Linked DNA regions of Arabidopsis thaliana. The protein of the gene in region 2 interacts with the protein of the main gene of each other region in a pairwise test. Each region holds a gene or a part of one and is shown on either strand. Other genes may lie near its edges.

Evidence for each region.
Region 1: the proteins of AMT1;1 (region 2) and AT1G21940 interact in a protein complementation assay, tested with the Arabidopsis thaliana proteins (one large-scale study listed by BioGRID).
Region 3: the proteins of AMT1;1 (region 2) and AT1G34640 interact in a protein complementation assay, tested with the Arabidopsis thaliana proteins (one large-scale study listed by BioGRID).
Region 4: the proteins of AMT1;1 (region 2) and ACBP6 interact in a protein complementation assay, tested with the Arabidopsis thaliana proteins (one large-scale study listed by BioGRID).

What each region holds. Positions count from the first base shown.
Region 1 is NC_003070.9:7,713,103-7,721,373, forward strand, and holds AT1G21940 (uncharacterized protein), read right to left. Parts: upstream 3,874-8,271; coding exon 3,714-3,873; intron 2,460-3,713; coding exon 2,068-2,459; downstream 1-2,067. Other genes in the region: AT1G21930 (uncharacterized protein), read left to right, coding at 364-413, 950-1,196.
Region 2 is NC_003075.7:7,853,540-7,861,750, reverse strand, and holds AMT1;1 (ammonium transporter 1;1), read right to left. Parts: upstream 3,569-8,211; 5' UTR 3,532-3,568; coding exon 2,026-3,531; 3' UTR 1,833-2,025; downstream 1-1,832. Other genes in the region: AT4G13500 (uncharacterized protein), read left to right, coding at 3,877-4,039, 4,104-4,173, 4,620-4,764. UniProt on the Arabidopsis thaliana protein: High affinity ammonium transporter probably involved in ammonium uptake from the soil, long-distance transport to the shoots and re-uptake of apoplastic ammonium that derives from photorespiration in shoots.
Region 3 is NC_003070.9:12,685,720-12,692,930, forward strand, and holds AT1G34640 (peptidase), read right to left. Parts: upstream 2,825-7,211; 5' UTR 2,709-2,824; coding exon 2,467-2,708; intron 2,078-2,466; coding exon 1,987-2,077; 3' UTR 1,833-1,986; downstream 1-1,832. Other genes in the region: AT1G34630 (uncharacterized protein), read left to right, coding at 1-97, 212-439, 555-762, 888-1,024, 1,109-1,189, 1,283-1,349, 1,420-1,716.
Region 4 is NC_003070.9:11,408,335-11,416,005, forward strand, and holds ACBP6 (acyl-CoA-binding protein 6), read right to left. Parts: upstream 3,900-7,671; 5' UTR 3,766-3,899; coding exon 3,754-3,765; intron 3,301-3,753; coding exon 3,183-3,300; intron 3,079-3,182; coding exon 3,016-3,078; intron 2,884-3,015; coding exon 2,798-2,883; 3' UTR 2,432-2,797; downstream 1-2,431. Other genes in the region: FRL2 (FRIGIDA like 2), read right to left, coding at 4,651-6,072; NFD3 (Ribosomal L18p/L5e family protein), read right to left, coding at 6,598-7,430. UniProt on the Arabidopsis thaliana protein: Binds medium- and long-chain acyl-CoA esters with very high affinity. May function as an intracellular carrier of acyl-CoA esters. Confers resistance to cold and freezing.

The DNA.
Region 1 (8,271 bases), on a different chromosome or scaffold from region 2:
CTTAGGATTTGTGAGAATCATTGAACAATTTTTCAACTTTGACAATTAATAACACGAGAGGAGCTTCAGATTTATGTGTTTGAGTATTCAAAGATATAGCTTTTATATTTGCCTTTCTGGGTTTCATGGAGATGAATCTGTATACTTATAGCTCATTAATTAGTCAACTCTGTTGTTGCTTCTGGTTTGACATTGTATTGAGTAGTCAAAGATTTGAGCTTTCTAACTCCACATGAAGATATAGCGTGTTTACATTTCATTTGTGAAAAGTACTTCAGTCCATTTGGGTTTCTATCTGGTTTAGAAGATATTTCTGGTGAAAACTTTATTTGGGCATTGCTTCTTTTCAGTGACTGATCAAAGATGGGAAGTCAGGAGAATGTGAAACACCTCGAGGAATGCACTGTTTCCAAGTTAGTTTCTTACTGCATCAATAATGTTTGATTGTTTGCTAATCATTAGAAAGAGTAAGGAACACATATTCAGTCTTTGTTTCTTCACTGTGATATCGAAATTTATCAGTAAGTCATTAGTTATGTAGCCACTTTTAGTTGTTTTCACTTGTTCACACCATCATGCTTTTCATTTGGAAAAAATAAGTAACCTTGGAATATAACCACGGTTGTTGTTTGATACGTCTTGCTTGTTAAAACACTTGAGTGTTGAAAGGTTCAGTTCCTCTGGTGTATAAAGTGTTTTCTTCTTGATATCGATTTTTTGTGATCTAGGATCATAGTTTTGTCATTGAGTCATGAGGTATGTAGCCCACTCTTAGTAAATTTCACTTGTTCATACCATCATGCTAGCCACTACATTGCTTGGCATAAAGAAGTAGCCGCAGTATCCAACATTTGTATCTAGTATCTTCTAATATAAAACACAGTATGATTGTTGTTCTCGAAATCAAAACATCCTAAAGTGAAATTTTCGATCTTTTTTGTGGGTGCAGTGCATTAGGGACATGGGTATTCTCAGTCCTAGGCGCATTGGTTGCAATCCCGGTAGGCATCAAACGCAAGTCTCTTGGGCCACTCGTGTTCTTTGGCACAACCGGAACAATGCTCGACATCATCATTGGTGTAAGTCAATGCGAGAGAGAACACGCAGAACACCAAATGAAGTTACTCCAAGACTCTCAAAATGCCACAACAACAACCACCAACACAGAGACTGAAGAAAGCTCTTCCATGTCCTAATCTTTTTTACATCTTTCTCACTAAGACTTTGATGTAATTTGATGCCACTCACAAGTTAAACTTGTTTTAAGATATTGTGATTATCCCATGTATCTTGAGAAAACAAAGAAGAAAGCTTTTCATGATTACAACTGATTCATTGACATTGTCATCTCCACCAAGAAATTGCAACACACGAAGCAATAGAATTTAATACGATAATATATCTGAAACTGTTACGAGCAATGTATATGAATCGATAAATCTTGGACTCCAATATCAAATGGTATTCAAAAACTAAAAAGGTTCAAAGTGAAAACTTTTATCAACAAACTCTTGTTCAAACTAATGAAACAAAGAAAGATTATTATAACGATAAACGATGAATCTCACTAAAACGACGGCGTTCCAAGTCGAAAGCAGAGGGAATGTTGAAAGTTAAACTTGATTTTGAATAAGTTTAATTATTGGATCAATTATCCAATAATTAATTATGGCCAAATCCAAGTTCTAGAGTTTTCTCTAGAAATATCATCATTTCCACCTCCTTAAAAGATTCTAGAAATTTTCTAGAATCATCTTCCACCTCCTTAAACATAAAAATCTAGATACTCTAATAGAATAATCTAGATAATTTGAATAATGTAATCTAAATCTTATGTAAGAACTCTCTAGACTTAGGATTAAAATATTTTAGATATTTTGTAGTTTGGAGGCTATAAATACCTCCTCCCCCTCTCAAATGTTGCAATGTTGTGAAGTTATCTTCAAGTTTAAAGCAAAGTAATAAAAGTTATATTTCCTAAAAAACTCTCTCAAAACACTTAAACACTTTCTCCATTACCTCTAAAAGAATTTTACTCTAACAGGGAAGATTCCGGCGAACACAAACTCATCCGACGACGAAGAACCGAAGATAAGCGGAGAAGCAGAGCGAAATCGCTAGGCAGATAGAACCCAACGTAAGTTTCATGTCCGTCTCTTCTCGTAGTCTACGCATCACCACCGGCGCAAACGTGAGTCCAAGCATCGATAAACCGATTCTGATAATCACCACCATAAAGCACATATCGGCCATCTTGTTCAGCTCTGATGCACAGTATAACGCCACGTGTCCGTTCTTCGTCGTCTCCGTTAGATATGAACCGTCGAAACCAGAAGCTCGTTTGCAGATTCCGGTGAAAATGGCGAGCGAAACTGCAAGAAAGAAACGATCGTTTACACGACGAGTTTCTTCTCTTCTCTCACGACCTCCATCTTCGTCATCCATTGCGATCTCGTAGTCTTGCAGGAGAAAATGGAGATTTTGAAACGATGATTGATGAAAAAATCAGAATCCGGGAAAAAGTGAGAAAATTTGTCTCTGAGAGGTTTTGGAGTTTGTTAAAGAGGGAAAGAAGAAGGGTTTATAACCTAACCATGGTTAAAATTTTAACCATGGACCATAGTTTATTTTTTAACCTTGCTTTTTCTCTAACCATGGTTTATAATCCGTACGTGTTGAAAAAGTTTCAAGGAGAGAGGTGATGACTGATGATATTGAGTGGACGAAGGACTTACCTCTTTTGGTCACTGTTAAAAATTGGTTTCTTGAATTACTGGTTACAAAATTTCGTTCGTTGCTGAACCGGAAATTGACAATTTTGGTTACACAGAATTGGGACCAAAAATATCTGCATGGTTTAGTATTTGATCATATAACTACCTATAAAAAGACTAGAAATATTTTATATTGTTAGATAATTGTGAAATTTTGAACAAAAAAAAATGTTAAGGGTTAAATATGGTCTTTTTTACTAAGTTTTATTCATCGGTTTTTCTAAAATGTTACTACTTTGGGTAAACAAAAGTTAAAGCAGTTGCCTGATTACGACACGTTGAACAATGGATTGATCTTATGTAAATTTAATTGATAAAAAAACAGTTCATGACTGCATTTTGCAGCTAATTCCTTAAACATTTTGAGCTAAAATTTGAAACTATCATCAAGAACATGAAGTAATTAGTCTTAATCCGATATCATAAACGGTTCACACACACATCGATTTCTTTGTAAAACTAATTATTGTATTCAGGGATGCGATCCGAAACTTTAACGCATTTTTATCTATGCAAATACAGTATGAAGTGATAAATATTGCAAGTTGTAACTACAATATCAATTAATATTCAGAAAATCTTGTTTAAACCTTTTATTCAAGAAACCAAAATGTTCACAACACAAATCCAAAGAAATAAACGAAAAGCAGATACAGAGCATCCGCGATGGTCTCACTGAACGATCACAGGTCCAAATATTCAAACCTCTAATCAAAGAAACCATAATGTTCAAAACAACAAACCCATCAAAGAAAGAAAAAAACGAAAACTAGATTGTAGATAGAAAGAGAGATGATAAATGTAAGCATCGTCGATGGTCTCACTAAAAGACACAGGTCCATAGTAACGGTGGAAGAAACTCAAGACACACCACTCACCCGGTGACGGAGCAGCGAAGGTACGCTAAGAAAGCAATCGTGAGGACGACAAAAATCAAACCCACGAGCAGCTGCACGTCACACTCTTCTCGTACTTTTCTCATCTGTTCCAGTTCCACCACCATCGGAGCAACAATGATCTTGAGAATCACAAGCATAAAAGCAAGATGCGCCCACAAGTTGAACTCCATCGCCCAAGAATACGCCACGTGTCCGGTCATCGTCGGGTTTGGATCTGAGCCAGCAGCTGCTCTTTTGCAGACTCTTGTGGACAGTTCAAGCAACACTGCGACGACAAAACGACCGTTCAATCTACGAAGCTCTTCACGTCCCTGTCACGATTCTCTTCACGTGGCTCAACAACTCCTTCCATGGCGAGAGATTCTTGCAGGAGAAAAGAAAAACAAGATTTTGAGACGAAGATTGTGAAAATGAAAACAGATTCGGGAGAGAAAATCTATATAATAAGGGTTTTTGGAGTTTATAAGCATAAAATGTTTCTTTTATTTAAATTAACCACGGTTAAAGTTTGACCGTGGACCATGGTTAATTGGTTATAGTAATCGTACGTTTTCTAACGGGACGTGAGTCTTGATGACTGTGTTGAAAGTTAAACTTGATTTTGAATCAAGTTTAATTATTGGATCAATTATCCAATAATTAATTATGGCCAAATTCAAGTTTTAGAATTTTCTCTAGAAATATCATCATTTCCACCTCCTTAAAAGATTCTAGAAATTTTGTAGAATCATCTTCCACCTCCTTAAACATAAAAATCTAGATACTCTAATAGAATAATCTAGATAATTTGAATAATGTAATCTAGATCTTATATAAGAACTCTCTAGACTTACGATTAAAATATTTTAGATATTTTGTAGTTTGGAGGCTATAAATACCTCCTCCTCCTCTCAAATGTTGCAATGTTGTGAAGTTGTCTTCAAGTTTAAAGCAAAGTAATTAAAGTTCTATTTCCAAAAAAACTCTCTCAAAACACTTAAACACTTTCTCCATTACCTCTAAAATAATTTTACTCTAACAAAGTGGTAGCAGAACTTGAAGATCCTAAAGATGGCGAGTAACAATGTTCCCTTCCAAGTCCCGGTGCTCACAAAGAGCAACTATGATAATTGGAGTCTACAAATGAAGGCTATCCTAGGAGCACATGACGTGTGGGAGATAGTCGAGAAAGGTTTCATTGAACCGGAGAATGAAGGTAGTCTTTCTCAAACTCAAAAGGATGGTTTGAGAGACTCAAGAAAGAGAGACAAGAAAGCTCTCTGTCTAATCTATCAAGGATTAGATGAAGATACGTTCGAGAAGGTCGTTGAAGCTACGTCGGCGAAAGAAGCATGGGAGAAGCTTCGAACCTCTTACAAAGGTGTCGATCAAGTCAAGAAAGTACGTCTTCAAACTCTAAGAGGAGAATTTGAAGCACTACAAATGAAGGAAGGTGAACTCGTCTCCGACTACTTCTCAAGAGTGTTGACGGTTACTAATAACCTTAAAAGAAACGGAGAGAAGCTAGATGATGTGAGAATCATGGAGAAAGTTCTTAGATCATTGGATCTAAAATTTGAGCATATTGTCACCGTCATTGAAGAAACAAAAGATTTAGAAGCTATGACAATAGAGCAACTTCTTGGGTCATTACAAGCTTATGAAGAAAAGAAGAAGAAGAAAGAAGATATCGTCGAACAAGTCCTCAATATGCGAATTACAAAAGAAGAAAACGGCCAAAGTTACCAAAGAAGAGGTGGTGGTGAAGTACGAGGACGAGGTCGTGGTGGATATGGAAATGGACGTGGTTGGAGGCCACATGAAGACAACACAAACCAAAGAGGTGAAAACTCATCAAGAGGTCGTGGGAAAGGACACCCAAAATCAAGATACGATAAATCAAGTGTCAAATGCTACAATTGTGGGAAGTTTGGACATTAGGCTTCTGAATGTAAAGCTCCTAGCAACAAAAAATTTGAGGAGAAGGCCAACTACGTTGAAGAAAAAATTCAAGAAGAAGACATGTTATTAATGGCTAGCTACAAGAAAGATGAACAAGAAGAGAATCATAAGTGGTACCTCGATAGTGGTGCAAGTAATCACATGTGCGGGAGAAAAAGTATGTTCGCGGAGCTTGATGAATCGGTGAGAGGAAATGTGGCTTTAGGAGATGAATCGAAGATGGAGGTAAAAGGTAAAGGAAACATTCTCATTCGATTGAAGAATGGAGATCATCAATTTATATCCAACGTTTACTATATTCCGAGCATGAAGACAAACATCTTGAGCCTTGGACAACTCTTAGAGAAAGGTTATGATATTAGATTAAAAGATAATAACCTTTCAATAAGAGACCAAGAAAGCAATCTCATTACCAAGGTGCCAATGTCGAAAAATAGAATGTTTGTCCTCAACATTCGAAATGACATTGCACAATGTCTCAAGATGTGTTACAAAGAGGAGTCTTGGCTATGGCATCTTCGATTCGGACATCTAAATTTTGGAGGATTGGAGTTGCTTTCAAGGAAGGAAATGGTGAGAGGGCTACCTTGTATAAATCATCCAAATCAAGTGTGTGAAGGATGTCTACTTGGAAAGCAATTCAAAATGAGCTTTCCAAAGGAGTCAAGTTCAAGAGCTCAAAAACCGTTGGAGCTAATACATACCGATGTGTGTGGTCCGATCAAGCCGAAATCACTTGGTAAAAGTAATTACTTCCTTCTCTCAAATGTATAACTCCCCAGGAATTTCAATTGCGCTTATATTCATCCCATTCTAAAACAATTAGATGATGATAAAATTAACAAAGATTGGGACTCCTAATCGAAAAGGGATATTTAATTAGGTTCCATAAAAAAAAAAAAAGGCTTGAAAAAGAACCTTCTCCACTTTATTCTTAAAAAGCCTCATGCTTATTCGAAAGCTTTGTTGTTTTTAGGATCTGGATCCATTATTCATTCTTGATTGATGATTTTTCAAGAAAAACATGGGTATATTTTTTGAAAGAAAAATCCGAGGTGTTCAAAATTTTCAAAAAGTTTAAAGCCCATGTTGAGAAGGAGAGTGGTCTTGTGATCAAAACCATGAGATCCGACCGTGGAGGAGAATTTACATCCAAGGAGTTTCTTAAGTATTGTGAAGACAACGGCATTCGAAGACAATTAACGGTGCCAAGATCCCCTCAACAAAATGGTGTAGCAGAAAGAAAGAATAGAACAATTCTTGAGATGGCAAGGAGCATGCTCAAAAGTAAGAGACTACCAAAAGAGTTGTGGGCGGAAGCGGTCGCGTGTGCGGTTTATCTATTAAATCGATCTCCAACAAAAAGTGTCTCCGGAAAAACACCACAAGAAGCTTGGAGCGGAAGAAAGCCCGGTGTTTCTCATTTAAGAGTCTTTGGAAGTATTGCTCATGCTCATGTACCGGATGAGAAGCGGAGCAAACTAGATGACAAAAGTGAGAAGTATATCTTCATTGGTTATGATAACAACTCCAAAGGCTACAAGCTCTATAATCCCGATACGAAGAAGACAATTATTAGTCGAAATATAGTGTTCGATGAAGAAGGAGAATGGGATTGGAACTCAAATGAAGAAGATTATAACTTCTTTCCACATTTTGAAGAAGATGAGCCGGAGCCAACAAGAGAGGAGCCACCAAGTGAAGAGCCTACTACACGACCAACTTCACTAACAAGTTCTCAAATAGAAGAAAGTTCGAGTGAAAGGACTCCGCGTTTTAGAAGTATACAAGAGCTCTATGAGGTAACCGAAAATCAAGAAAACCTTACCTTATTTTGTTTATTTGCGGAGTGCGAACCCATGGATTTCCAAGAAGCCATTGAAAAGAAGACTTGGAGAAATGCCATGGATGAAGAGATCAAATCAATACAAAAGAATGACACATGGGAGTTAACTTCACTTCCAAATGGACACAAGGCAATTGGCGTGAAGTGGGTGTATAAAGCAAAGAAAAACTCTAAAGGAGAAGTGGAAAGATACAAAGCAAGATTGGTTGCAAAAGGTTATAGTCAAAGAGCCGGAATTGACTATGACGAGGTATTTGCTCCCGTTGCTCGTCTAGAAACGGTTAGACTAATCATCTCACTAGCGGCTCAAAACAAGTGGAAGATACATCAAATGGATTTCAAGTTGGCCTTCTTAAATGGAGATTTTGAAGAAGAAGTTTACATTGAGCAACCACAAGGCTACATAGTCAAAGGTGAAGAAGACAAAGTCTTGAGGCTAAAAAAGGCGCTTTATGGATTAAAACAAGCCCCAAGAGCTTGGAATACTCGAATTGACAAGTATTTCAAGGAGAAAGATTTCATCAAGTGTCCATATGAGCATGCACTCTATATCAAAATTCAAAAAGAAGATATATTGATCGCATGCTTATATGTAGATGATTTGATATTCACGGGTAACAATCCAAGCATGTTCGAAGAATTCAAGAAAGAGATGACGAAGGAGTTCGAGATGACGGACATTGGATTGATGTCTTACTATCTCGGAATTGAAGTAAAACAAGAAGACAATAGAATATTCATAACTCAAGAAGGCTATGCTAAGGAGGTACTTAAGAAGTTCAAGATGGATGACTCAAATCCCGTTTGTACA
Region 2 (8,211 bases):
TCAATTTAGATTAAATTTTTTTAAGAAATGAAAAGTGAGCATTTTAAATTTTTTTATCTTTGATTTGTTAATGATGATGAATTGTAAAATTTAAGAATAATTACTATTGCTTTAGGGTAAAAAATTGTTAATCACAAAAAGTGATGCATTTATAATCAGATTTTTGTAATTTTGTTTTATTATGTGAAAACTGAAAAGTTTAATACGATTAGACTAATTACAAACAGATATATTACTTTCTTTTTTTAGTTTGACAAGTTTTTAGTTTGTTGTTGTATAAGTAATATGGTCACACTAGCTAATTTTTTTTTTTCGTCGATCACACATTCACACTAGCTAATTAAACAGTTACATGACTCACCTATAGCAAAGTACATGTAGCCTGTTAAATGATTAGTATAAGTTAAGTTTATAAAACAAGTGACTCGCCTGTCGCCAAAAGTTCAAAAACATATTTAACCCAAACGTGTAATGATAATCATAACCTAGTAATACTAAAGAAAATGTTACAATTAGAAAAAATATTAAAATGGTCAAGACTATTTAATTATTTAACGTTCAAATGTTTGGAATTATTTATTAATTATTTCATCTGTTGAGTATATTCATTGAGAATAGAAGCAACAAATATTAAATTCTAAAAAATAATAAAGTAAGATACACAGAATAAAATTTAGGAAAGCAATAAATAACCGAGTAGAAATCATAAAGCAATTGAAACTGCAAAATCAAAACAGTCAAATATATTCTTCAAAATGTTGAAATGTGTGTACCTAATTATGTAAAATTTCCATGCAATTTGTTTCCGAGTACCGGAGCCATCTGGTCAACTTTTTCATTTAGTGTGTATCTATCAAATCAAAGTGCTGGCCATTAAGTTCCTTAAAACTTGTAAAAGAGATTGAAAAAAAAAAAAAAATACAAATAAATATACTAATTGATTGGCTTCTTCACCTTTTGATATTTAAAAATGCCAATTTTTTAATTTGGAGGTAAAGACAAAATATCTTCTTTCCAACTTGTAGGAGCTGCCTCATCACTCATGTCATGCTTCCATCTTTTTGAAAAGCACCCAAATACCCTGACTTTTTTTACATATGTACGAAGTTGCCATTTAGTGGTATCGACAACATTATCACGAGTTCCAACTTTCAAGTAATTCGCGATCTACTTTGTGAATCCATTTGTTAATATAATAACTGTGATACTCCGAATCTTTAGTTGCGGCAACAAGGTACGTACGAATCTCCAAAATCGTTGAGTTTAAATAACACTAATATAATAAACACATTATTTCATGTGGTGGACAAATGAAATTAGAGATTCGTGAATAGGTTGGTTGAAAGTTTGTAAAAACACACTTTTTCAAAATAAAATAAAACAGAGTTTGTAAAAACACACTTTATCAAATTAAAACAAAAAAGAGTTTGTAAAAGCACCTACTTCTGCTGAAACTTCAAACTTGCAAGCATCTAAAAGTCTAATTAGTGATGTAAGACATAGAAATTATTTCCATAAATTATTATTTATTTGCATCAGACATGAAAGATTGTCATTTCTGATTATTATGCTTGAGTAAATGGTTCAACTTCGTTTTACCAAATTGTTAATGCTTCTAGAAAGCAATACTTCGAGTTATTTATATCTATTGCGTCAATGCAAGGTTTGTTTTAGACTTTTTAGCTATTTAAAGCAATAAGTATGAACTAATATCAAAAAAGTATGAGCTATATCAAAAGTCCAAACTTAAAAACGGTCAGGCTTTTACTTAGTCCATGCTTCACATTCCTAATTGCTTATCTAGAATGCAGCAAATAATGATCATAAAATTTGAAAAAAGCGTTATAGAAAAAACTCCAAAGAGAACACAAATGACCACATAGATATTATCATCACAACCCCATGAAACTGTACATCTAAAACATTACTGAAATGCAAAAAAATATCCAAAACAATATTTAAGTATCACAAAACATCATTTAAAATAATACTCTAGAAAATAGAGAATAAAAGTAAAAATCCAAATCAAACCGGAGTAGGTGTAGTATTAGCACCAGAAGGAGAAGGAGATCGTGGCTCAACTCTCCTAAGCTGAATGGCTTTGTGAGACTCATCATCATCAAAGTACATATAAGCAAAACCACCGTGCCTGGTCATATCCATACCGGCCATCTCATCCTCGGACGATATCCGCAACAATTTCATTTTCTTGAGGATGAAGAAAAGTGTCCCCATGGTCGCACTTACCCAACCCGTGATCACAATGATCTGAATCAGCTGAGCTCCAAGTAGTTTTCCTCCACCGCCCATAAACAAACCGTGTGGCCTTCCGGGTTTGTTGCCGTAAATCTGGTTCAAGTACTTTTCTTGAGCGAAGAGAGCCGTGAATATTAGTCCCCACGCACCGCAACCACCGTGTAGTTGTGCTGCCTCAAGAGGGTCGTCGTATTTGAGCTTCTCAGCGAGCTTGTTGCATCCGAGGAGGACTAGGGCCGCCACGAACCCGCAGATGATCGCAGCCCATGGCTCAACGACAGAGCAGCCACCAGTTATGGCTGCAAACCCTCCGAGGAGGCCGTTGCATACATCAGTGACGTTCCAATGTCCCGAGAGTAGACGTTTCCCAAATAGGGTTGTCAGCGCCGCGGTGCAGCCAGCTAACGTTGTTGTGACAGCTGTCCGTCCGACCGCGCTCCACTGGCCGTTGTATGTGCCTGTCTCGTACGTGACTAGGATCTTGTTGAAGGAACCGGGGTTAAATCCGTACCATCCAAACCAGAGGAGGAATGTTCCAAGGACAACAAGTGACGCCGAGTGGCCACGAAGAGCGATGGCACGGCCTCCGTTATCGAACCGGCCAAGTCGTGGACCTTCGATGAGCGCACCCCAGAGTCCAGCGATACCTCCGACCATATGAACAACACCGGACCCAGCGAAATCTATCGCTCCGGTGCTGAAAAGCAAATCTCCATCGGTACGGAACGGGCTGGCCCATCCATCAACTGACCAGAACCAGTGAGAGACGACCGGGTAAACAAACCCGGTTAAGAAAGAGGAATAGATTAGGTAAGCCACGAACTGTGTCCGTTCAGCGATCGAGCCACTTGTGATTCCAGCCGCAGCGATTGCAAAGGCCCATTGGTAGAGAAAGTTGGAGTAGTCAGCAGAGGCCGTGGGGATGTCTTTGAGACCAAAGTAGTGTTTACCGATGAAACCATTGGACGGAGATCCAAAGGCAAAGGCGTAGCCAAACAGATAATAGAAGAGACCACCGGCTGCAGCGTCAAGGACGTTGGTAAGCATGATGTTCATAGTATTCTTGGCTCTCACGGAACCGGCACAGAGCATAGCGAAGCCAAGCTGCATAGAGAAGACAAGGTAGGCGGAGAAGAGAAGGTAAGTGTTGTCTATAGCGAAAGCGGTGTCGATAAATTTGTTGTTGACGTCGCCTAACTGGCCACAGATGTAGTTGGCCGCCGCCGTGGCATTAGGACCCAACAGGACAGCGAGATCGGTGGCCGAGCAAGACATGTTGAGAGTTTAGAGAAGAAGATGAAACAGAGAGGCTGAGAAAGAAAGTGTTTTGTTTCTCTGTTTATATAAAAGAAGGAAGCTAAAGGCCTAGGGTTGACTTTTCAATCCTGACGAAAAATATTCGTAACGCATAATACAAAGTCTTTAAGTTTTGTTTATTAGTACATACATGTGAATAAAAAATAAATAAGGAATGTAAATGTATCAGGCTTCAGCTAATATATCGGTGAAGATAAGATCTGTGTGTTCAGAAAAAAATATTCTATCACATCCAAATGTATAAGTGAATAACAGAAAAATAAAATGTAAAAATATTCTATCACATCCATATAGTTGTTGGAAATGGCAGCGAAATTTCGAATTTCTTCTTCTTCGTTTAGCCACAGGGCTAGTGATTCCTCAACTTCATCATCTTCTTCATATTCATCATTGCTTGCTTTACCTCAATTCTTTTGTCCACCATCACCATTAGGATTCCCAGAATTCAAGCTTCATGCCAAATTAGGTACTCTTATATCTTTTATTTGTTTGTAGATGTAAATTTTGTTAATCTTTGGTTATTGCATAAGGTGGAGGAGATGGAGAAGTGAAGCCTAAAGATAAGAAAAAGTTTATAACCAAAGAGGAAGAACCTGAACAGTAAGTTAATCTTAATTCTCAATTTTCATCATGAGATTGTAGAAAATAACAGAAACTCATAGAATGGTAATGTAATTTTGCAAAATCACAGAAAAACAAACCTAGGAAATTGATGAAAACATGGAAAATTACAAAACGATATGTAGGTTACCAATTTAATACAAAAATTTTAGTCTCCATTGCAGAATTTAAGTAGTTTTTTTTTTTGTATGTGTCAATGACATGTAGACTGGTGGTTTGTGACATTGTGTTAGTATTGTATCAATATCCAGACTCAAATCCGTGTTAGCAAAAGAATAAAAATATTTGGGTTGTAGTTTAGTCAAAAGAACTAAACTCTTTTAAAATAGAAAAAGAACTTAAATTCTTGCATGTTCATTTTTCATAAACATGCAATTGTGATTGAAGAAATGGTTATGGATGAGGATTGCATTGGAATTTTGTAGGTATTGGCAAAGCGTTGGAGAAAGAGAAGGAGAGAATCCGATGAAGACGCCTCTTCCTTACATTATCATATTCGGTATGTCAACTCCATTCGTCATCTTAGCCATTGCTTTTGCCAATGGTTGGATCAAAGTTCCCATTCGTTGAGCCTTTCTTTTTGTTTTTTCTTCACTTGTTTAAGGCTGAATCTTAAACATGTTTCTTATACTCTTCTTCTTCGGCTGTAAAAAAGAACAAATTAATAGAATGCTATCACTATATTATATGGTGCTTTGCTATACTACATGTCTTCATTACAAGCAAATGTATAAACAAATATTAGTCATCTCTTCATCATTAGTGATATGTTTGGTCTTGTCAAGAAGAATGAGAATTAGAGACAACACAAAGTAGTGACATAGAGCCTAGTTGGCACATTAAGCAGAGACTTGAAATCATCTAGAAGACTTTTCAAATTACAGCCTGACGAAAAATATTCGTAACGCAAATTGCAAAGTCTTTAAGTTTTTGTTTGTAAGTACATGTGAATAGAAAATAAATAAGAATAATAATAATAAAAAGGAATGTAAAAAATGTATCAGCTAATATATCGGTGAAGATAAGATATGTGTGTTCTTAAAAAAGTATTCTATCACATCCAAATATATAAGTGAATAACAGAAAAATATATATAGTATTGAGACTGAAATTCCTTGTTTTTATTGTTTTCTTGGTTAGGCGAAATTTCTTACTATCTCTTTTGAACATTAAAAAGTGTCAATTTGACAAGATATTCTTTTGTTTTCAAAAGTAAGTCTTAGATTTGAGTATTAATATATTATAAATTACGTACTTACAAAACTATGTTTGCATTTAGCATATTTCGAATTCATTTATAAGATATTAATTGATAATTTCTGTGATATCTCAACCAGGTTGTTGTTGGTATATCTTAATTGACTAATTGAGAGTGAGCATAATATCCACATACCACATGCTATAAAGTTAATGTTTCTTTTCCGTTAAATTATCTTTTCTATTTATATAATATAAAATTTTCACAAAGTAGTTTTCCTAAAACATGTTTGGAAATTCATCAAGTTAAAAAGTAACTATATGATAGAACCAAGCATAAAAAATTGATCAAGAGATATTTAGATTCCAAGATTGGGGAATAGAGGCAACAATGTACAGTTTACTTTTGGTCTTGATGAAGGCGTCAACGAGCATATAGTACTCTTGATTTCCAAGCTAGATGCAGTTGATCTACCGCGATTTGTGATGGGGCTTGAATTACAAATTTATTCACCCTTATAGCAGATCTTTCATCGAGTAAATATCAAAATATTTGCGGACAACTGAATCCGATAAAGGCTTATGTGAATATTGCAAGTGAACATGACAATGTTCTTGTTCAATCCGATCAAAGTGTAGACATCAATTTTATTGAGTTTAATTTATAAATGACGAGGGTCATAAGACATCTTAACTCAAAGGATTTGGAGACTAAGCTCAAGTTTCGGGATTGAAGAACTTATTTGATGAGAGGCTTCTCTTTTGGTGAATTCAATACCAATGGCATGAGCATATTGAAGGGATGCTCTTTCACGACTCTTTAAAATATCTTAAAAAGTAGATATGAAAAAGAAGAAATTGAGAGAAAAGTCATATAGAGAGAAGAAAATTAGAAGTATATACAAAAAAAATCGATAAAAACTGTAAAGAAATCGAAGAGGATATAAAATTTCTCGACGTCGACGAACTAAAACTCTATCGATACCGAAAATTAGTCTTTGAAGTGGTATTTCAATAATATTGCATGAAAGTGTTTTACCAGTATCATCACTAAAAACAATAAGTGTATGTTTTTAAAAATATATACTATACCTTTTTTTTTCTTTATATCATCGATGTCGAGATATATCTCGATTCTTAGGTTGTTAACTCTACAAAACAAATATTCGTAATTAAATTCTAGCGAAAAAAAATCCACAAAAAATGGAACTTTAATCGCTTGACCAAAAATATTTCTCCATACAAACTAAATAATTCGTACACATGTTTTACTATATTTAATCAGACATCTAGTTAATGATACTGCAGAATTTTTTTTACAAATTCATGAAACTGATTACTTTAAAATTTAGAAGAAGCTGATTTAAACATGTTATTTTCTGTATATAAATATTGGGTATTAATATTCTCTATATATATACTATTAGAAAGTTACTTTAATTTGCCCCAAAAAAAAGTTGCTTTAACTACACCTGATTATTATAAAACAGACGCAATAAGAACCAAAATGAACTAAAGTTGATTCCGACATTTGTAGTTAGTAAGCAAATATTGACCAGGGAATCTGCATCTCCGGGTTTGGACTTTTCCAAATAAATAATTAGGATTCATGAAAAAATGATAATAACACGCAAGAAAAATTATATAATCGAGCATAATAAGACCCACTGGTATATTCTTTTTAATACTTTTGAGTTTTAGTTCACACGAAAACTTATTATCAATTGTTGACGGGCCTTTATCGAAAGTTTTAAAAGCATCTATCTACACACTTTATATTTTTCATATGTGATCTATATAAGCTGGTGGTTAAGAATATTCCAGGTCAGGTTGACCTGTTCACTTCATTTAGGTCACTCGGGTAAATATCTTTTCTCTGAATTTTTTTACCGGTTTGACAAATCATACACTTCTAACTGAAAACCAAGATTATATACCAATTTTGTAATGTTTGGATTATTCGAATGATGGTAAAACTTTGAAGTGCTACAAAAGTCAACGCTAGAGAGACTAGGTGGTCTGGTAAACTTTTTTTCTAGGATTGACTCAGGTTACTTGCAAGCGTTGATTAAGAAATCACTCTTTTCATAAGTCTATGTTAACTATTTACTATGACCGTGGTATTGTTGTTACGTGTTACTTAATGATGAAGAGGTGCCAAATCACTTCCAACAATTATACTAATGTTTTTTTCAAAACATTAGTTAGTTTATGTGGATACACAACTTTTTTTCCCTAAACTTTTTGTTTCGATTGATGATCATTAGCAAACTAGTACTATTATTTCAAAGTTATAATGTAGCAAGAATTTAAATAGTATAATTTACTCTCATAATTCTCCCCCTTCAGTTGCATTAAACTATAGTGATAGCGTTGCTTCCACGGCTTTGGTTTTCAACTCTTGTTTTCAGTTCTCACATAGTAGATATTGAATTCTCGAGATATAGGGCCGGGTTTTTGAGTTGTCTTATGGCTCTTATACCATACTAAAGTTATACCACAAAGGTTTGCTTTCATTGTTAATCATCAAACTTATATATACAGCCCTAAGATCTCATCTATACAATATTCGAGATTATGGAAGAGTAACATAACTACAAAACTAATGAGATATGAAAACTATTCAACATTCGGAGAAGCTTCTAAAAGATATATTCACGCCAAAAATTTCCAACAAGGAATGATTTGGGTCATCTCCAGGTAACCGAATTGACATTTCTACGAAAAATAAATTAAACTCGTTAGTAGATTAAAAGTTCGTCCCAAATAATATTCCTATTGGTTTTGATTTCAACTATTTATTTTTACTAATGATTTAAG
Region 3 (7,211 bases), on a different chromosome or scaffold from region 2:
TTAAGGAGACGTTAAGATATGGATTGTTCTTAGGAACTTTTGCTGGGACTTTTGTTTCTGTAGATGAAGCTATTGCTGCTTTAGCAGGAGACAAGAGGCATGTTTGTCCCCACTAATCTTGTAACTTTTATTTTGTGATTTAAACCCAAAAATAGTGAAGTATCAATTTCTTCAGATTTGATCACTGTGAAGTAATTTAATCTGAATCCAGAACTGCAAAATGGAGGGCCCTGTTTGCTGGATTGGTGGCTGGACCATCTATGCTTCTCACAGGGCCAAATACGCAACATACGAGTTTGGCTGTTTATATATTGATGCGTGCTGCGGTTCTCGCATCGCGTTGCGGTATTAAAAGTAAACGCTTTGGTACCATTTGCAAGCCACTTACTTGGAAACATGGAGATTTATTCCTCATGTGTCTCTCTTCCTCACAGATTTTGTATGCTTTCTCTTTCTCTCTACAAAGATATTAAATTTTGTGGTTCAGCTAGTTGTTACTAGGTTCTTGGTTGTTATTAGATTCTTAGATTAGCGATTTTGTGTTTTTTTTTCAGGTCTGCTTACATTTTGAAACAAGAAAGCCTTCCTTCATCGTACAAGTCTTTCCTTAACAAACAAGGTGGGAAGGATCTTTCAATCTTACAAGGCGTAAAAGATATCGCAACCGCGCAACCGTTCACTAATTTAAGAGCGATTGAGAAATATTACAAGTCTGTTGGAGTTGATATCAAACTGGATCCTACCATGAAAGTCCCCTGTACGGTAAGTTTTCTATGATACTATCTTTTTTGGGTTGTTAAGACGAACAAAGCATTTGTCGATAGTTGATGTATCGTCAATGAGTCTGCATGCATGGTTTTACGCAATACTTATGTTGTTACTTGCAGATAATACATGGAAATGAGTCATGTGTTAAGCATGGTGTTACATTTTTCCTTCAAGCTTACAAGAGGGCGTTACCTGTCTATGTCCCTGTGTATTTGATTCCAGCGCTAATAGTCCATCGTCAAGACCTGCTAAAAAAGTAATAGGTTTATGTCTAAACTGCTCATTGAATGGTATATATCCTCTGATTTTATTCATCACCTCATAATATGTTTCATCACAGGCAATACTCTATACTTGGCAAGGGTCTTCTGGGCACAGCGAGATCAAGTTTGTTTCTCGCTACTTACTGCTCTTCTGCCTGGTTAGAATCAATTCTTGGAAGGCTCTTATCGATTTTTGTTTTGTTCTCACTTGAAGTTGGAACTTAGACCATCTCTATAATGATGTAAAATAGGGCTTGGACTTGTCTACTATTCCGCACTTTTGAGACATGCAACATACCGCTTGTGGCCATAGCAACAGTACAAACGAAAGCCATTCTCATCACATATCATTGTTAATATAATACCTAACGTTAGGCTTCTCCTGCAGTTCCCAACAGGTCTGGCTTTAGCTATTGAGAAGAAAAGCAGAAGGATAGAGATATCACTATACTGCTTAGCGAGGGCGATAGAGAGCTTCTTTACTTGCATGACAGAGGCAGGATACATTCGACCGCCCAAGAGTTTAAGAAGAGCGGATGTGGTTGTGTTCAGCGTTTCGACAGCCATTATAATGCATTGTTACGCACAAGAAAGAGACGTATTTCGATCAAAATACTTGAACGTACTAGATTGGGTCTTCGGTGTTCCTCCTCCCCCTCCTGCTCCTTCTTGCGAAACAACCTAGAGACATTCACTTTTAACCTAAAGATCTTTCTGATGTGGGACAGAATTTGGTGGTAGAATGCTCATTTAGAGTCTCTAGGAGTTTTGTTTTGGGTCAATTTTGTATACCACAATCCATTTGACAATTTTTGTCCATCTTATGTGGACACACCAATATGTAATCTGGTAGTCTTACATGTTCTACAAAGTTAAAATAAAACGAAGCTAAATATTTTGTTAATCAACAACACTAAACCATAAAAAAGATGGACCAAGTAAATACAATATGGCTTCAATAATTTGATACGAACATCCACCACCTATACACTGCATATCCATAGACCGTGCCGTATAAAACCATCCTCATAGGGTACACTCTAAACCTGCATTACTTGGTCCAAAGATGTATCCATTATCCATTAATTAGGCCAGTAAACCAAACCAAAATTTGGATCTAACAATTAAAATCAATAGAAAATATTCACGAAAATAAACAAATTCAATCATAACTTGTACACCTAATTCGTAGATATACAATAATACATACATTGCAAATGGAACCTAACATTGTATGTATGGTTTGAGATTCGCTCTTTTGAATCCAAATTAATATCGGTTGACAAAAAAAAAATTGTATGTATGATTTATGTTTATCCAATAGGTTTTAAGGCAATAAAGCTAAACCAAAATTTAGATCTAATAATTCAAAGATTAATATATAATGATATGATAAAACAACTAGTTTGATATTGAGATAAGATAAACAAGTAACCTTGAAGGATGAGATTTGCGGGCGAGAGCGGCTGATCTTTCCTCGGCGGTGACAGGATAGCCCCACCGAGAGAAACTCCGATCAAAGAAGTCCCAATCCGGCAAAAGTATGCCGCCAATAAGAGAAATACCGACGGCGTAAGTAACAACCGTCTTCTTTAAAGACTGTGTCCATAACCATACAACTACCATCACCACTGCAAGACCTACCATTGATGATCTTAGTGCTGCTTCGTTTCCCATTATGGCTAAGAGAGAGTAGATAGCTTATATTTAAAACGGGATTAGTTGAAGTTGCTTTATAACAGTGTAAACATGGAAAGAAGATTCACAGATTATGTAGGATGTAGGAGAAAGATTTCATTTATGTGTTAAAGATAATATTTAATGGATTTTTTTATATAGGGTATATTCTTTTGGAAAAATGCGTGGCAATCAATTGAATTGAATGCCGCCATAAATGTGGTAATGTCCCAACCGTATTTTTGGATCCAAGTTTTTGTGTTTGTTCAGTTTTATCTTTATTTATGGTTTTGATCATAGAGTAATTAGAATTATACCGAAAAATTAGGAAAAAAAAGATAAATTTTGGAATGACAAGAAGGAATTCACAAACTTTTCTTTATTTTTAATTTTTTGTAGTGTAAATGTAAAAACGGATAATTTGGTATGAAAGAATTATACCGAATTGCATCATACCATATATATAAACAATATCTCTCGGATTAACTCTTTGAATTCTAATTAATATCGGTTGCCAAAAAAAATTTGTAGAATAAAATGACATAATCATCAAGCGGGACAGAAATTATTTTTAACTTTCACAAGCATAAGATTATATGAGTACGTTGTACTTTAAACATAAGACAACAAAAAAATCTTATCATATTTTTGAGGTAAAAAAAATTATAAAATTGACCAAACAATGTGTTATACATATGAAATTTACTATTTATTATTTATTTGTTATCTCATTTAATATTATGTTATAATTTTAAATTGATAAACTTAAATTTTGAATCCTCAATATTTAATTAACTTTACCAATCAAACTCTACATCTACAACCAACACATGTAATCATACAACAAAAAGTTTATAGCTACTGCCGAACAACAGTAAAAAGGAAAGTTACTACTCAACCAAACACCCACATAATTGGTTACTAACATAAATTTTGTTTTGATAGTTGGCATCGTTAGTAATAACCTCAAACTTTTCTTTTCTTTTCGCCAAAAAGTAATAACCTCAAACTACGAATGTCGTTTTGTAAATGAAGATTTCTAATTTTTTCCTATAAATGTGAAAACAAAGTAAATACTCTTTTTCATTGATAGTATATTAGTATCTAAAGCATTAATCTTACAAAGGTTGTTAGATCTATATAAATTCAGAAACAATTTTTTAAAATCCGAAGCCACAAAACTACGCATTGACAAAGGACAAGTTTAAGTCCCTTGGTAGAAACAAATGACGTCGACTATTTCTATTGTTAAATAGCGACGAGATTAAGCCCTCATATATATGCGGCTAAATAGCAACACCATGTTTCTTTTACACATGTTTTTCTATGAACTTGCTACAAAAGTTCATGAGAAAGTGTGGTCACATCTTAATAATATCTATTCCTCGGTAACTATTTTAGTCTATATCTACTAACCAATATTTGAATATTTTCTCAGTAACAAAGTAAAATATAATACTGATTCCCCCAATGGTACTGTGATGCCACATTGCTAAACACTCAATTAAGTTTGGTTTTGATACCCCTTATAACATCATGATCGCCAATGTTTATTTACCATCAATTACAGTTTTGACCTACAAATCTCATCCTCGTTATTCGACCAGTGCACTTCTACATGTAAGGTTGATAGACTTGTTTACTAGTCTTGTTGATCATCACAAGATATTTTTATGTGTTTTGTGAATTCTTGCACAATACTAAAAATCACAATCTTTATATTGCTTCGCGTGTGGGATCAAACCTAACGATAAGATCAAGAAATTTGTTCCAAACCTCTCGTAAAGACACAAACAAGACACAATGAGAACTCTGGAAGCTCTACACTAGCTAGGAATCTGAGTTTGTAAGAACAACAGATCATCATATTTTTTGAAAATCATTTAAGTCGACTAGACCTGGGTAATAATATCACTTAATCCCTTCTCAATTATTTTGGATGCATCTTCAACATTTTGTTTTTGATAAATTCGAATCATATATGCAGAAAAAACAATTTAAATACAAATGATAAGATGATTTAGCTCTTAAAAATGACCAAAGAAACAAACAAAGATGAGAAGAAGAAATTTTGATTCTCATTATATCTTTTTAATTAAAAAATAAAATTTTATTTAGTAATGCATAATGTTTTACAAAAATATATTGGGTGGCTTTTAATTTTTGAGGAATACTGAGGAACTATCACCTAATTAATTTTGTATAAATAATTTATCAAGTAATTAAAAAACATTATTCTACGGAACCATTGAATATTTGAAATTTAGTATCTTTTATTTATTATTACTATATTTCCATTAAAATTTATTTTTTATTATACTCTAGATTTAAAGCTATATGTGTTATACATTAGCTCGTTATAAACATCGATGGTTGTGAATTTAAAATACTAAGCCAACACCTGCACAAGGTATGAGTATATTCATATAATTTGTTAGTTATAACAAATAACATCGATTGAATTAATTTGGTAAAACATATTTTGTATTTTATCGAATTATCATTTTAATGTATTTCTCTAACTCTCAAGTAAATAATTCATTCTATTTTTTAATGTTTTTAATTACATTAATAAACCTTATTTACAATTACTTACCTTTAAAACAATTGTTGTCTTTAAAGTATTTTTAAAATAAACGAAATTAAACTAGTGTCAATTTAGTATCTTATATAAATAAACCATAAATTCAACTAATATTTATTGTCACTAATCCTATATATATTATACTATATAAAACCATGAAATAAATTCTTATATCATATTATTTATGCATAAGTTTATACGACTTATACAACTAAATTTAAATAATTTAATTTATATACAAGTTTGATATACTTTGTACTTAATTAAAATAAATTTATTCAATTAATAAGTTAAAACATGTCAATTTGTATGCAAGAAAGAATTAATGCATGATTTTTAATTCTTAAATTAATTAATAAATATAATTAAGGGTATATGCACTAGATGACTATGAAATTCATAATATTATAGAAACTAACCATGGGCGTATAGTACCTGTCGGAAACCAACTTTAAATTACTCTCATATCCCTATAATAGAGTTTTGGTTGAAGGGACAAATAGCTTTATAGGCAAATAGTTTTACCACTAAAGCTTCCATAACCTCCTCATCCCTTACAACAATAACCACCACTAGATCCGTAACACCACCGCCTCCTCCGTATTTAGTATTACTAGATCTGTAAATACTACCGCCTCCGTATTCACCACCATCATATCCATAACACCACCGCCTCTTCCCTATTCATCACCACCGCCGTTTACTTTTGTTGACATGTATTTTTATTCTAAAACATTGTATTTTTCAAAGTTTCTTTTAAATAATACTTGTTCTTTACTAAAATTACAATGATCCGTGTGTCTCAATTCAAACGATAGCATGTAATTTTTGAATAATTCATGCTATTTTTCTATTTGATATGTATATTTTCCTAAAACGTTTGTATTTTTTGATAAGATAATATTTTTTTAAAGATAATGTGCATTTTACTAATAATCCATATTTTTACTAAAATCACAAGTAAGTTACTGATTCATGATTCATGTTTTTTTTATAATCACATGCAAATTTGTACAATCACATGTAATCTATAAATAACACATATGTGGTTTGCTTATCTCTGTTGAAACCCATTTACCATATTGTCAAAACAATAAACCTACGTTCTAATATAATAAAAATAAATAGCATGTCCTTAAATATCTTATGCAACATTTCTATACTCAATCACAACTGTTTCTAAATGGCTATTTTTTAACTAAATTTTCTTTTACGTATACATTTTTAAGGTATAAGAGATATTGCGTGTGATTTTAATAAGTAGTGGTCTAATATTGCATGATTTTTAAGAAGTAGCGGTGTAATCATTACTTTCTATTGTCTTTTGTTCCCTACATGTAGCAGCTATTGTCGAAAAGAAAGAGTTTCTCTCATCTATAAAAGGTAAAATAGTTATTTCGCAGGCTCAAAAAAGGTTATTTATCCAACTTTTCTGCACGAAGGCTATTTTCTTAATAATGCTGTCAAATTTGGTCATCCTCTAATATTACCCTATAATTAATATATCGATGTGACACATGTCTCTCATGATTTTTAATTCTTAAATAAATTAAATTAAATAATAAATAAAATTAATATATTGATGTGACACATGCCAATCTATCTACTGCTGACTTGGCGGAAGGATGAAGAGAGTTGGTCAACTTGCATATATGATTATAAAAGATAATTCTTCTTTTTACTGAAATAGAATTGAAAAAATATAATTCATAAATTACCTTTTAATGTAATGTCCCCAAAAAGTTGAAAATCTATAATGAGATTTATTCCATAAATAGTTCTATTTTATTTTGAGGATTCTCCTACTAGTTGCCTTACTAATTGAAACTAAATGCAATATAATAAATATTTAAATTGGTGACCCAAAAGAAAATCTTTTATACATAATTTTCCTAATATTGTGTTCTATTAGAATTCTA
Region 4 (7,671 bases), on a different chromosome or scaffold from region 2:
GTACACCATCCCATATTAATATCGAATCAAACCCGTCAATTCTAGGATTTCACCCGTGGTAATATTTAATTGTATAATTATATTTTAATTGTCATTCTAGGATTTCACTCCTAATTCTATCGTAAATTATTATCAACCCAAACCAGTCAATTCTAAAATATCACCCGTAGTACACCATCCCATATTAATATCGATTCAAACTCGTCAATTCTAGGATTTCACTCGTGGTAGTATTTAATTGTATAATTATATTTTGATTGTCATTCTAGGATTTAACTCCTAGTTCTATCGCAAATTCTTATCAACCCAAACAGTCAATTCTAAAATTTCACCCGTAGTATAAAGTTTAAATATTTATAATGTTTAAATTTTTTATAAAAGAATCAAAATGTGTTTTAAAAAAAATAAAGTTTTAAGTGTGTTTTTTTAATATTGTTAATTTTGTTTAGTGTTTAAGATTATATAATTATATTATGATTGTTATTATATGTTTTTTTCCATAGCATACTATCCCATGTTATTATCCACTCAAACCCGTCACACCATATAACCCCGTCCCGTGAAATTAAACACAAATTTGTCATTTTATTATAAATTTCAAATATTTATAAAATTAGAAACTTCAAAAAAGATTAATATTGATCCAAACTTCATCATTGAATTTTGAGTGTTATATCTAAGATTTCTCTCGCAGTATATCGTCCCGTATTAATATCTTTTATATTGTTTAAATTTCTTGTAAAATTTAATTTATAATTTCTTAAACTTTTTAAAGTTTCAATTTTTTAAAATAAATAACCCTAGTAAACAAACCATTTAATCTTGGATACCTCATAAATCAAGTTTCATGATCATTCGTAATCGAAATCATTTTGGTCCTTTTTATAGTATGGCTTGACCATTGTCCAATTTTTTTAAGCGATGTGGGACATTCTAAAATCGTAATTATTATCCACCCAAACCCGTCCTACCATATAACCCAGTCCCGTGAAATTAAACATAATTTTGTCATTTTCTTATAAATTTCAATATTATAAAATTTGAAACTTACAAAAATACAATATCGACCCAAAAATCATCATTGAATTTTGATTGTTATATTGAAGATTTTTCCTGTAATATATCGTCTCGTATTAATATATTTTTATATATTTATAATGTTTAAATTTCTTGTAAAATTCAATTTATAATTTTTAAAACTTTATAAGTTTTAAAATTATAAATATTTAAAGCATTTTTTAAAGATAAACTTTATAAAAAGTTTTTAAAATTATAATATTTAACTTTTGATAAAGTTATAATATTTATAATTTCTTGAAACATTTTAAAGTTTCAATTCTTTAAAATAAAAAATCCGAGTAAAATCGGATAACTATTTTAATTTTAGACGCCTGATAAATCAAGCTTCCTGCTCATTCGTAATCAGAATCATTTTGGTCCTTTTATAATATGGGTCTGAACTATTGTCCAATTTTTCTAAGCGATGTGGGACATTGTACACATATTATTTCTTCATAGGTTGAATAATATATTTCCGTTTTAAAAAATTTGAATTACATCATATTCAGAAAAAATATAATATTTTATTAACTATATATATTTTATATAAATTCAAAATAAATAAAGTATAAGATCAAATAAAAATGAAAGAAGAATTATATATTTATGTTTAAATTAGGTAGAAATATTTTAGGAAATTAGTTAAGGTAAATAAGAAATATGGTTAGTTTAGAGATATTGTTTATATTATGTAATTAAATCATTAATTTCGTTTTTAATTATTATTTTTTAGGTAACTTTTCCAAAAATTAATGTTATCCAAGATCAGAACAGAATTAAACATGTTATCCAGGATCCGAATAGAGTTAAATCGGGTAAAACCCACCCATTTGAATTAATTGTTGAATTATGGTTCACATCTTCAACATTATCTTCAAAAACCTCCTACAAAAATGTATATATAGATTAATTATTTCACTTATATTAAAATATATAAAAGAATTTGTTATGTTAAAGTGCATATACTATATATTTATATCGTTTAATTTTCAATTGAAAAACACAATGCATTTAATATAAAAATTCTAGATGTATAATTTTGATAAAGAGATTATCATAATACTAAATATTAGTATGTTCAACATACAATTAATTATTTTAATATTCTACAATATTATTTAATTTCTTGAATCACGGTTAAGAGATTATCATTAAGGGAAGGAAGTTAATCTACAATCAATAAAAAATAAAAGTAATTATGATCAACTCAATAAAAAAACTATTGTTTTTGTCATCTACCAAATTATAAACCTCAAATTTGTAGACACTTTAAAACTAAACGTCTATTTATTTACGAATTTGACTTTAAATAAACCACATACAATTTGAACAATTCTGCCAATGTTCGAGACGAAAAAAATAAATAAAAAATCTGCCACGTTCTTTTTTTTTCCAGCTTTTGTCTTATGTACTCCAAATTGAAATAAAACGAAAGTTTTCTAGTGAGTGGTGAATGCGATGGACCATGAAGAAAAAGACCTACGGACCAGAACGAATATATCATCTTGAATTCAACTGTTTTAACTAAGACCATATCGAGGACGGACCAAAAATAACTTATGGATTTAGTTTGCATCATGATTCTCTGTTTTAACCAATATCAAGCATTTTTAAGAGATCACACCATGTCACAAAGTAGATAGCTTAAATATGATAGAAACACAAGAGCAAGAACAAGTCTTATGCAATGTTATTTTGATGCTTAAGATAAAGTTACTGCAGATGAGGATTTGATTCATCAGGTTGAAGCCTTGGAAGCAGCAACTTCCAAGAGTTGCTTGACCTTAGTGATATAGTCATTCATGGCTTCTTCCGATGATTTCCCTGACATCATAAACAAAGAAAAGTTCAAATTCAATTCCCCAAGCACAAAAAATTGTTGAACTTGAGACAAGAATCCAAATTACAAACAAATCACTAAGCTAAAAAAGTTGATCACTTGAATTGTTTTTGTACCTTCAACAGCCTTCCAAGCATCCCACTTGGCTCTCTCCTTCATGCTGAACATTCCAGGACGACCTTTGAATCAATCAATAAACAAATACACATTATTAACAACATTACAGAAAAGTGAACTAAGAAGCAAAAATAGAGGATGTTAATATTCAGACAAAAATATTAACTGGTGTCCACAGGCCCAAACTTGGCTTGCTTGTAGAGTCCGTAGAGAATGAGCAAATCCTCGTTGGATGGCAACTCCGTGAGCGTATTCACTTTCTCAGCGTGCTCCTCAAATTCCTCCTGCAGATATATAAATCAGTGAAACAACAAATTCGAAGAAAAGATTCTTAATAGCCTAATACACCATCAAACATATTACTACTTAAAATTCTCAATCGGGATACAATAATCAAACAAAACTCAATAAAACCAAACCTAGCTCAGATTCAAAACTATATTACCCATCAGCAAACAGTGTTTAACAAATCAGTTATAAGAACAGTAAATGGACAAAATCATACAGAGAAAAAGCGTGATCAGTAATAATTCAATTCCATAAAGTGATCATTCTTGACTATACAAGCTTCAATTTCGTAACTATAAGGAACCTATATATCTGCAAATCTGGATCAAACAAGGCTACCAACACAGAAAATATAGAATTCAGGAATGGTGAACACAAACAAAACTAAGATCCGAGTAGTAATAAACCGAAACCGAGATCGGTTTGGTTCATTTTGGATCTGAACGTACCTTCAAACCCATGATGAATAGACGTCGGAAGTTGAGATTGGTAGGAGAATTAAATCAGTGTAAGACGGAGAAGACGAGGACAACGCGTGAGATATATATGGGCGTCATGATAAACCTCTCAGGCCCATAAGCCATAACTATTAAATATTTTCTTTAAAGGAAATAAATATTTTTAGAGATAGATACTGTATACGTGGATTCAGACACCCCGTTGATTGGCTTATTCTGATCAGTATGGGTACAACTGTAAAACAAAGAACATGTTCTGTTTTTTCTTTTTTTTGCTCATCGAACATGTTCCTTCTCCATTGAAATGACAATATTAATTTTCTGTTCCATCAGAAAAACCATAAGCATATCCTTTTGTAAACTTAAATAGTTTAATGAAAAAAAAACTATTTCTGTTTCTGTGCTAGTTGAATATTATCCTTTGGATCATTTTAGATATCCAGACACGTAGATTTCTTCCCACTACAACAAATCAAACCAAAAGGGATCTTTGGTGATTATAAGAAAAAAGGGAGGAAATCTTGGAAGATTACCTAACAAATCAAGGAATATAAATGTTAGATCAAAACCATAAAGACCATTCCTCCACAAGTAAACTAAACTAAATTAAAAAGAGGTTAAGGTTAGGTTATAAAACTGTACAATCAAGGCAAAATCCTCTATAGTCGCTTCACCAGGTAAACAAAAAAAGAAAAAACGGATCAATTTGCTCTTATGTTATCCCCCAAACAGCGACTATATCAAGTGTTATCTATGTCAAAACTCTCGAAATTTACTTGATATTCATTACTGAACATCAAAAACACATAGAGAGCATAGACCTGTTCGAGCAGAAATCTTCTCAATATCGCTTGCATTCCTATAATAAATCTTACCAATAGAGAGATGCTACTGAGGATAGTACGGTGGGCGGTACTGAGGTGGTGGCATCCCATAACCAGTTTGCTGCACATAAAAGACGGGTCGAGAAGCTGGAGCTGGAACCGAGCCAAATAGAGCCCTTGGGTTGCCATATGGGACAGCAACACCAGGAAGTATTGAGCTTAAAAGACCATATGGGTTCACTTGTAAAATCTGACTAGGAGTAGGCAAAAGTGGTGGTTGTTGTTGCGGCCTCAGAGGTGGGATTGTCAAATTATATTCCATACTTGAACCATTAGCAACTCGAGGACGCTTATTATCGACCTTTTGTTCTTGTGGTTGTTGGGGATTAGCAGGTGAATTGAACTTAGTGGCACGCTTCCTCTGAGCTTTCTGATCCTCCAACTCCTTAACACATTCTTCGAGTTTCTCTTCCATGAACTCGGACTCGATGTTTTTCTCTTTCACGACTTTGATAACTGCTCTCAAAGCACTTAGTTCTTTATCAGTAGCTTCGTTCTGCACCTTAAGAGAGTAATTCCCTTCAGCACAAACTCTCTTAGCAGCTTCTCTAGAGTTCTTCAAACTAGTTTTCAAAATCGAAACTGGTTCAAATTCACCCACCATCTCATTCTCGTAAATGAATCTAATAGCAACAAGTAATCTCCCAGTATCCAAAAACTTCTGAACGAGAACTCCTATTCGATTTCTATCTAAACCAATCTTCTTGCAGATCGTTGTTGCTTGTTTATACTTAGAGATCAAGAAAATGTAATCACAAATCTCCTCAGTACTAAATAAAGACCCTAATTCAAAAGCTGCAACCAAATGCAAAAACCCTAACGCTTCTGATGGTTTGTTACCTATATTTGGTTTCCAATCATAAGCAATAGTCCTAGCTCTTTCTCTCAAATCATTCGTGAGATTCGCATTGATCTCAATCAAAGCTTCTAATAACAAAACGAAGATCCTCTTCACATCGATCGCTCTCGCCGAGGAAGACGACGATGGTGATGAGCAATGGTAAGAACCTTCGATTGCATCTAGAACCAAAGGTGCTGGATTCTCTGAGCATCGAATCGCATTAGGAAGCTCTTCATTGATAGATAAACGCTTCCTCGAATTCTCAATCATGTAGTTACCCAAACCTTTTCCATCATTCTTCTCACAAAACTTTCTCAATTCCGGCCAAAGGACTGGTGTCTCCGTCGTAACCGCCGTGGGAGTTTCGATATTACCGGAATTGGAACTAGTCACGGCTGATTGGAGGCGGTTAAACAATGAAGACTGGAGAGAAGAAAAGTGAGAGTCAATCTCAGACCATGAGAGGTTAAAAGATGGTGAAAGGAGAGATCGATGAGCTTGAAGATCATCGAAAGCTTTCTTCAATTTTTGTTTCTTCTCATCAATTTGATTAATCGATGCGGCGATTGATTCCGCCGCCGTCATAATCTGAACCCTAGGTTTATTAAATTGCTTTGCTCCGCCGTATCGGAATCTCAATCTCTGAGACCGAGAGAGCGATTTATTTCCAAATCAATCACTACTTTAAAAAAAACTTTATTGCTTATATATGTGAACAGAATTTGACAAGGCTTAAGATTCCGGTTAATGAATCAAATCCCTTTGGTCCAATTATCTAAACCAGATTTTCCTCAATCTATCGACTCACTTCCTGAGACCAAGAGAGCGATTTATTTCCAAAGCAAAATAACTATTTTTGAATAACTTTATTGCTTCTATATTTGACAGGCTTATATGGTCTGGGATTAAAATGTCAAATTTTCTATTGGGTCAAAACAGGAAAACAATTCCGGTTTATTAATCAAATCGCTTTGGTCCAATTATCTAAACCCGATTTTCCTCGGATTTGAAGGAGAAAACATAACCAAGAAAAGATATAACTTGCCAAAACAAATGGTTTCTATAGTGACCATAGAATAACAAGAGACGACGACATGGGACGTTTTCTTTTCACACCCGACGTTTCCTTGGTAATCTGCAACCATTATGAGCTTTCCTAGTAGTGTCCTCGATGTAGACTATCGGATTCTGATCAGACCTCGAGTTGGTGAAACCGTCTCTAAACGCGATAATAGCTTTCTTCTTCTTTCCGAAATGCGTAAATCCGTTCACCTTAACCACCACAGATTTCAGCCCCATAGCCTTAGCTCTTCTCCCAATGTTTTCAGCGGTTGCATCAGCTGTGTAATTCGTCATCTTCCTTCCACCTTTCAGATCGGGTAAACTACCAGATGTAGCTTTGCATTTGACGTTTCCTTTGGAATCTGTAACCGTGACAAAAGTGTTGTTCCTCAACATCTTGATGTGAATGATGTCAGCATTCGTTTCGAGGTTTGGGCGTTGGAAATGAGAGAATATCCCTGCGGTTCTCCTTCCTTCATCTTCTATTACTTCTCTAACAAAATCCAGGTCGCTTGACTTCCCTCCACTGCGGGAATTCTCCTTAAGAAGCGAAGAAGATTGAGTGAAATTCTCGTAGCTTGATAAACTTGGAGCAGAGAATCCGCTTCCTCCCGTGTTTGGTAAGCCTGGATTCGTCTGACCGAACTGATCAGGTAGAGAGTTTGGTAATCTTGATCTCAGTGAACTTTTGAAGGTAGGAGGAGCATTAGGAGCCGAGAAACCATTGACTCCTCTGTTTAACAAGCCTGCTTTCATATCACCAAAAGTTCTCAAAGTCGAAGGATTAGGCTCCGGAGAGGAACCGATTCTTCCCGTGTTTGATAAGCCTGAATTATTTGCAGACTCTCCAGAAACTGGCACTTGCTCTCTGAATCTCCCTCCTGTTCAAGAAGAATCCACGAAATAAATAATCAATCAATACAGATACATTATAATTCCCTCCTTGCATATAGCCTAAGCTGCTCCAAAGAAATGTTTTCCAGATTCATGATTTGTAGATATCTCGTTACCAATTGCAATAATTGCCTAATTTCTGAATACAGCAAATTGTTAAAGAGCCATAAGAAGCTGATCCTTGAGACTAATTGATTCAAATCCTCGTTCTGTACTTCTAGGCAAAGG